2 linked regions of the Sus scrofa genome follow. The protein of the gene in region 1 purifies or fractionates together with the protein of each later gene. This does not show direct contact. Links are inferred from orthologs where the notes say so. Each region holds a gene or a part of one and is shown on either strand. Other genes may lie near its edges. The genes, in order: TBC1D4 and YWHAE.

What was found.
Region 2: the proteins of TBC1D4 (region 1) and YWHAE purify together in Homo sapiens (affinity purification with mass spectrometry; 3 studies listed by BioGRID and IntAct, with this or other methods). This does not show direct contact. The link is inferred for Sus scrofa from reciprocal best matches to the Homo sapiens genes TBC1D4 and YWHAE.

The regions. Positions count from the first base shown.
Region 1 is NC_010453.5:47,627,381-47,631,192, reverse strand, and holds part of TBC1D4 (TBC1 domain family member 4), read left to right. Parts: intron 1-2,355; coding exon 2,356-2,943; intron 2,944-3,812.
Region 2 is NC_010454.4:47,642,254-47,646,770, forward strand, and holds the start of YWHAE (14-3-3 protein epsilon), read right to left. Parts: upstream 3,075-4,517; 5' UTR 2,924-3,074; coding exon 2,860-2,923; intron 1-2,859. UniProt on the Homo sapiens protein: Adapter protein implicated in the regulation of a large spectrum of both general and specialized signaling pathways. Binds to a large number of partners, usually by recognition of a phosphoserine or phosphothreonine motif.

The sequences.
Region 1 (3,812 bases):
GAGTAGTATTCCATTTTTTTTTTTTTTAATTTTTTTGGTCTTTTTGTCTTTTTAGGGCCACACCCTCGGCATAGGGAGGTTCCGAGGCTAGGGATCCAATTGGATCCCTATGCCACAGCAACGCCAGATCTGAGCAGGGTCTGCGACCTACACCACAGCTCAAGGCAATGCCGGATCCTTAACCCACTGAGCGGAGGCCAGGGATCGAACCCTTGTCCTCAGATACTAGTCGGGTTCATTAACTGTTGAGTCATGACAGGAACTCCAGTATTCCATTTTGTGTGAGTGTACTGCCTTTGGCTTATCTGTTCATTTTTTCTTCAGTTTTATCAAGATATAATTGACATAGAGCATTGTATTTAGTTCAAGGGGTACAACATGATGAGTTGATACGTGTGTATATTGCAAGATGATTACCAGAAATTGAGTTAACATCACTCTCCTCACATAAAGATTCACTGGCATCACATGGTTATGGATTTTTTTTTTCTTGTGATGGGAATGTTTAAGATCCACTCTCTTAGCAACTTCTGAATATACGGTATAGTATTATAACACTCTCGTCACCATGCTGTACCTTACATCCCCAGAACTTACTTGTAACTGCAAGTTTGTACCTTTTGACCACCTTCACCCATTCCTTCCTCTCCTGCCTCTGGCAACGGCCAGTCTATTCTCTTCATCTATGAGCTTGTATTTTTTCTTAATTTTTAAAATATTTTATTATTTTTTATTTTTTGGTCCTTTTATTTTTTAAGGGCAACACCTGCGGCATATGGAGGTTCCCAAGCTAGGGATGGAATCAGAGCCGTAGCCTCTGGCCTATGCCACAGCCACAGCAATGCCAGATCCAAGCCGTGTCTGTGACCTACACCACAGCTCACAGCAATGCTGGGTCCTTAACCCACTGAGCAAGGCCAGAGATTGAACCTGTGTCCTCATGGATGCCAGTCAGATTCGTTTCTGCTGAGCCATGATGGGAACTCCTATTTTTTTTATTTTTTAAGATTCCACATAACAGTGAGATCATACAGTATTTTCCTTTCTCATCTGACTTATTTCACTTAGCATAATGCCCTCTAGATCCGTCCATTTTGTTGCAAATGGCAGGATTTCCTTTTTTTTTGGCTAAATAATATTTATCACATTTTTAAAAAATCCATTCATCTTTTACTGGACACTTCGGCTGACTTCACTTGTGTCCATGTCTTGGCTATTGTGAAGAATGCTATGATGAACATGGAGGTTCGGGGAGCTCTTTAAGAGAGTGATTTTATTTCTTTTGAAGTGGGATTGCTGGATCATATGGTAGTTCTATTTTCAGTATTTTAGGAACCTCCATACTGTTTTCCACGGTGACTGCATCTATTTATATTTCTACCAACAGCGCACAGGGGTTTTCTCCCCTCCCCCTTCCTCCCCAGCACTCACTTTCTTTTGTCTTTTTGATGATAATCATCCTAACAGGTATAGGGTGATCCTTCATTGTGGTTTTCTTTGCGTTTCCTTGGTGATTAGTGAGTTTTCACTTGTGGAGGTATTGTGACTAAGGCTTCTATGAATATCTGTGTATAAGCCTTTCTGTGGACATATGTTTTTAAAGACTTTCAGCTCAATCTCTAGGAGTGGAATGACTGGGTCATGAGATAGATCTAGGTTTAACTCCTTAGCAACTGCCAGCCTCCTAAGGTGGTTGTGCTGTTTTTACATTTCTGCGTACAATGGCTGAGGGTTCCAGTTGCTCTGTATCCTGGTGGGCATTGGCCTTTTTGATGTTAGCATTGTAACAGGTGTGTAAATCACATCTTCCTATGGTTTTAATTTGCATCTTCCCTGATGGCTAATGCTGGGGGGGGGGGGTGTCTGGATCTTAATCTTTTCATCGAGAAAGTTAATTTTACCCTCATTGTTGAAACTTTGGGTTCCTTTCAGCTGAGGCTCGTAATAATTTATTTATCTCAGTCGTGGTTGGTACCTCAGTGTTACACTTTATTTTTAATTTAATTTTTAACCTTTTGACTCCTTATAATAACTTTTAAAAGTACTCAAAGGATATATGATGATTTACTAAAGATTGCTGTGGCCTATGTAGTCTTATGATTTTGTTTTCGGGAAATGATTACATTTAAAAGGGAAAAGTTTAAAGCTGATATCATAAAATTTCAGTCTGATCCCTAAATCATATATATCTGGTAGTATAATTTAAGTTTACACTTTATGTTATGTAGGGTCCATTCCTCTCTGCATTTTGTCATTTGGTATGAGAATGCAATCTGTGTGATAATAACAGGTCTAGGTAAACATAAATGATCCCTAAATACTCCACTGAAGTGAGGATTTGGAATTCTTTTCCAGGTTCCGGATGTCATCAGCAGCATAAGGCAGTTATCGAAAGCGGCCATGAAAGAGGATGCCAAGCCCAGCAAAGACAACGAGGATGCCTTTTACAACTCGCAGAAGTTCGAGGTCCTGTACTGCGGCAAGGTGACGGTGACCCACAAGAAGGCCCCGTCCAGCCTCATCGACGACTGCATTGAGAAGTTCAGCCTGCACGAGCAGCAGCGCCTGAGGGTCCAGGGCGAGCCCCGCCCCCCGGATGCGGGCGAGGACTCGGCGGCACTGGTGGCCGAGGCGCCCGCTCCCCTCGCGGACGCGCTGTCCGAGGAAGGGGACGGCGTCGCCGACACCCACCCGGTCTTTTCCTCCGCTCCCAGCCAGCCTGGACCGGCCAGCTCTCGCATCTGCTTCCCCGAGCGGATTTTGGAAGATTCTGCCTTTGATGAACAGCAGGAGTTCCGGTCCCGGTGCAGCAGCGTCACGGGTGTCCTGCAGAGGAAAGTTCACGAGAACAGCCAGAAGCCCCAGCCGCGGAGGAGGCACGCCAGCGCGCCCAGCCACGTCCAGCCCTCGGATTCGGAGAAGAACAGAACGATGCTGTTCCAGGTGCTGCCCTGGCCGCGAGCTCTCGGGGTGTTTCCCCCTCCTTTACTAGACGCAAGCGGCCGGGTGGCCAGCTCCTCCCAGTTCCTCAGTCTGCAAGCATCCAACTTTTCTGTCTTACCCCCTGGGAAGCAGAGCCGGTAGTGGACAAAGAGAGCAAACAAAGGAGAGTAGTGAAGGGGTGAGAGGCAGACATGGAGTGTAAGAAAAAAGGGAGCAGGGAGAGGAGGAGAAAGAAGCACTTAGAGGAGTGTCAGGGAAAGTTGGTGGGGAAATAAGAATAGATTACTCTTAGCATCACCAGCGTTTGCCTTAGCTTGATTCTTTTTTTTTTTTTTTTTGTCTTTTTGCCATTTCTTGGGCCGCTCCCTTGGCATATGGAGGTTCCCAAGCTAGGGGTCTAATCGGAGCTGTAGCTGCCGGCCTACACCACAGCCACAGCAACACGGGATCTGAGTCGCCTCTGCAACCTACACCACAGCTCACGGCAATGCCAGATCCTAAACCCACTGAGCAAGGGCAGGGATCGAACCCGCAACCTCATGGTTCCTAGTCAGATTTGTTGACCACTGAGCCACAACGGGAACTCCTTGATTCTTAAATAATTTTTTTTAAACGACTGCAGAAAGCCAACCTTATAAAGGGTCTGAAGATATAATTTGAAAGAGTGTGAATTGTCATGAGGAAAAGAGAGTTTTCTAGAGAGAAAAAAAAAAAGGTCCAGAGACTCATTGATGTATATTCAGATGAGAATACCCCAGTGTATTCTGTCACACAAGAGAGACAGTTAAAGAAACATCATAGACCTAATAATTTACTAGATCAGTTATTAAAATAATTGGGTACAAGCTATGTTATAGGTGTAAAAGACA
Region 2 (4,517 bases), on another chromosome or scaffold:
TGTAGTTTATGCTGACCCTCCATTCTCAAAAAATGTAAAAGTACTTATTTTTTTTCCCTATTTCCCACTTTTCTGTACTAATGTGGTTCATATATGCCGGGTAAGTTAAGACTTGGCCCAGGAATATTAAAAGGTGATGAGCTTAACTTGGCTATGAATGATAGAAATTCCTCAGCCTGTTACATGATTTAATCTTTAAAATTAACAGTCCTAGCCCCAAACTTACTTCCTATCTGCAACCCAAAATTGTCCTTTTCCTGAACACAGCTTAGCTCATCCTCCAGTACCATTAAATAATCCATATCAATTGATTCCAATTCCCCAGGTCAGAGTTCAATGATGCTACTAAAAAAGTTTAATAGATTCAACATAACATGCAAAATAAAAGACAAAGGTACTACAGGAACAAGAAGAAAAGCCAACATTTATATCCAACTACACCAAGCCAAGTCATTCAAATGCACTCTTCACTTTCCCCATGCCTGATAAATTATTTGCTAACTACAACTATAAAATCACTTTTTGTCACCAGAAACAAAACTGAATTATTATATCCAATAAAGGAGTGGTCACAGGTAGAGGCTGATTCCTAAGGAGTGTCTTCCTCTTCTCCCTTTCCAATGAATCCCTCTCTGTCTTGTACCCAACAGTCACGGACATTCTCTCCAAACTGGTAGATCCTATATTCCCTACCTCCCTTTAGATTCTGAAGGACACTCCTAACGTTTAAACAACCTTAAGAATACGGATCCTGTGCTAAATAATAAGGCCTTTGGTCAAAAATCCTCAAACACTCAAAACCAATACATTATTATCACTAAACTGTCACTTACGTGAAAGCTACAATCATGAACTTCCAAACCACTTTTTAAAACAAGTTCTTAAAAAAAAAAAAAAAAGCTCCCTCCACGTCCTCTTTGGTGATCACAGCCAGAGCCTATAAATCCCTAAAGAACAGAAAGCATTCCGATATAATTTCAAGTTTCCTCCCTAAGGGCATTGGTGTATTAAGAGAGGAACCTATTTGGGACAGGAGGGGGGGAGAAGAGAAAAACTTCCATTCCAAGCACACCTACATTAGTTCGCTTTTCAACAGTGAAATAAAGACAAAACTGACCTTGAGCTGTACTTCCCCATCTTTTCCCCTCCCCCTTTCCACAGGAATCTTGTTCAATACAAATAGCAATTGAAGGATTTACAAAATAGAAGTAGTAACCTTCCTAAATTTGAGTTCGAGGTCTTTTCTAGTAATTTTCAAATTCCTGACTCCTAATGAAGATACGCCAGGACCAGCCCTGAGACTATTCACATGACCAAACAGGCATTCAAGGAAAGCAAGGTCTCCACACGACATTTTGGGGAAAAAAGTGGCTTCATGAAGAAAAATCTATTCATTGACACTTGATTCCAACCCCGTCTTACGCCACAAAAGTATAAAAACCACAAAAAACATACATAGGATTTTTTGTTATGATAATGCCAGTTTAAAAGATGTGGGAGTAATTCACATACCTAGATCCAAAATGGGCGGGGGCAGGAGACCCACAACGAGAGGGGCAATAAAAAAAGCAGCCTAGAACCGACTAAAAAGACACAGTGGCCATTTCGAAGAAGTTCTGAAAAATGACTACAGAGCCTTTAGGGGAAAAGGAGCAAGGAACAAAGAACTGCTCAAATCTGTGCATGAAACCATTTACTTAAAACGGAGAAAAGAAAATAAGATCTACTGGGATTCCTTACGGTCTTAATTCAAAAACCCAAATCTCTGCTGAGTGCTTTGGGATAGGTTAAGTACGATCACGCATTCCAAGCCAAGGAAGGCAACTAAAATACAGTTACTAAACGTTATTTGAAAAAACTTGATTTTCCAACAGGTCTTTCCATTTGTCGTAATGCCGCGTGTAAACAGGAAAGTCGTCATTTTTAAATACTGATAGATTGAGGCACGGGAATAGGAGAGGAACTAAAATTCATCATCTCCTTGTTTCCTGTTCAATGTTCTATCTATCCACCAGAACCCACAGCTTATGAAGCCAGAAAATGATTACCAGGAACTTCGAACTCTGCAGGTTAAGTTTGAGGAAAGGGAGCGTGAGAGAGATTTTTCTAGACCTCCCCAGAACAAGGCGAGGTTGAACGGAAAGCCTAAAAAACCCCACTACAAGGTGTGCTGGTCTACGGGAAGGAAATCCGAACGTAGCATCTCGGCTGGCCTCCGCCCAAGGATGAACTGCAGTGATTCCCACTCTCCCCTCGCTCTCCCCACCCTCATCCGAGACTGCCCCCCACCCCAAACCCAAAGGAGCCCTCCGCTCGCAAGGGTTCTCCTTTGTGAGACTACACAGCCGCCGCCCCACATTGGGCCTCTGGGGAAAAGCCACCGCCCCCACCCGCCATATTTCCCTGAAAGGCGCCCGCGCTCCCGGTCGCCACTCTCCCCCATGTGGCGGGTGTTTCTTCCCTCGTCACGCCACCCAATTGTTCACCACGTCCCAAGAACTGCCCCGAGGCTCCCCTGGGGATTGCTCGCTGGGAGACAGCACCCGCCATCTCCTCCCCCTCCCCCGCCCCGGGACTCGCCCTCCCCCCCAGCCGCCATTTTACAACCAACTCCTCCACCCTAACGCCCCGGCCTCCTGGCTCCCGAGTGTCTGCAGCTGAGAACGCCGAAGGAGTCAAAATCCTGAGTCTGGAGCCTCCTGCGGCTCTGAAAGCCTACAGGCCATTGCCTGCTTCCCAAATCCACCTCCCCGGGCCAGGCTAGGAGACGATGCCGCCATTTTGTCTCCTGGTCCTGGTCTCTGTGGGCGGCGGCAGAGGGTCCTAGAATTCCAGCCCCCCGTTCCCCCCCCAACTCACCGTCATATCGCTCAGCCTGCTCGGCCAGCTTCGCCTGGTACACCAGATCCTCCCGATCATCCATTGCGGCAGCGGCTCCGGCAGGGTCTGCGCGACGGATGGAAGCGGATAGCGTCTCCGACTCTCTCAGCCTCTCGCTCCGCGACCGGGCAGCAAAAATGGCGGCGCCTCAATCCGGGACTTCCGCCTGCGCACGCGGACAACTGCTCAGCTCTATGGCAACCGCTCCCTGGCAACTGGCGCGGGGGGGCGGGTCTGGGAGCTCAGCGCCCGAAGAGGCTGGAACCTACTAGACGCCCCTCCTCCGTGGGCTTAGGGGCGGTTGGAAGCGGGAACTGCGACTGCATAGTGGGAAAGCTCCCCAAGGAAGTGAGGGAAGCCAGGCGAGAGAGTGAACGAAAGAGCTGGACTACGGGCAGAGAAACTAGCGGCAGTAACGATTTTGGTAATGGTAAAGGCAGTCCTGGATCTTACTCAGACCCTTTTAACCCCAGGGTAAAGAGTTGGGCTCTTCTGTAGCCAAATGCGGAACGAGGACTTCACACTTCAGCTTCTTACTTCGCAATCTTTCTTTACTTCTCCTTAAGCCTTCTTTTTCCCCTTGGGCCCACCATGGATCGGTACAGGGAAGTTGTTAGGGGATCCTGGTCTGGAGCACCTAAGGTGCAGGAGAGTAGGAGCAAGATCACATTGCGATCAGGAGGCAGGAAAGGGAAACGACCTGATGTTTGGCTTCCCAGTGGATTCCTAACATCTTGTATTCGTACAGTATGTGTTGCAAGACTGAAGTTCAGGTAATTAGAATATAAGCTGTTTGGTAGTGTCTGCGGTAAATGTGTATTAAAAGGTTGGAACCAAGTTATGAAGAAGCTTGGATGGCATGCTGGGAAGTTTGCGCCTTATTCAGTGGCCACAAGGAAATTATTTTTTGATGATTTTTCATGGTGGATGACACCATCGTTATTCTCTAAAAAGATTATTGTATAGCAGTGATTAAAGAGCAGAATAAATGATCAGGCTATTACAATAATACAGGCAAAAGGTAATATGACCACAATGAAAATAGGAAAGGACAAATGGAGATAGTGCTAAGAGAGAAACTACGAAGAGTTTGTAGTTAATCAGATGTGGGGGGGGGGGATTAAATTGACCTTCTATCTTCCCTACCTAGTCACTAAGAGACTAAATGGTACCATTAACAAAAAAAATAAGAATGCTAGGAAAATTTTCAGATGGAATGCGGAGAAAGACGAGTTCCTTTTATCACAGTTGGTTATAAGGTTCTCAAAGGCTGCCCAAGTAGGAGTTCCCGTCGTGGCTCAGTGGTTAAGGAATCCGACTAGGAACCATGAGGTTTCGGGTTCCATCCCTGACCTTGCCCAGTGGGTTAAGGATCCGGCATTGGAGTGATCTGTGGTGTAGGTCGCAGACGCGGCTCGGATCCCGAGTTGCTGTGGCTCTGGCATAGGCCGGCAGCTACAGCTCCGATTGGACCCCTAGCCTGGGAATCTCCATATGCCGCTGGAAGCGGCCCGATAAATGGCAAAAAAAAAAAAAAAAAAAAGAATGCCCAAGTAGGAGTAATATCCATGGGATTGGAAAAGGGGGACTAACATTCCAAACTGTAGGGACGCTGCAATGGAAGGAGCTAGAGGATC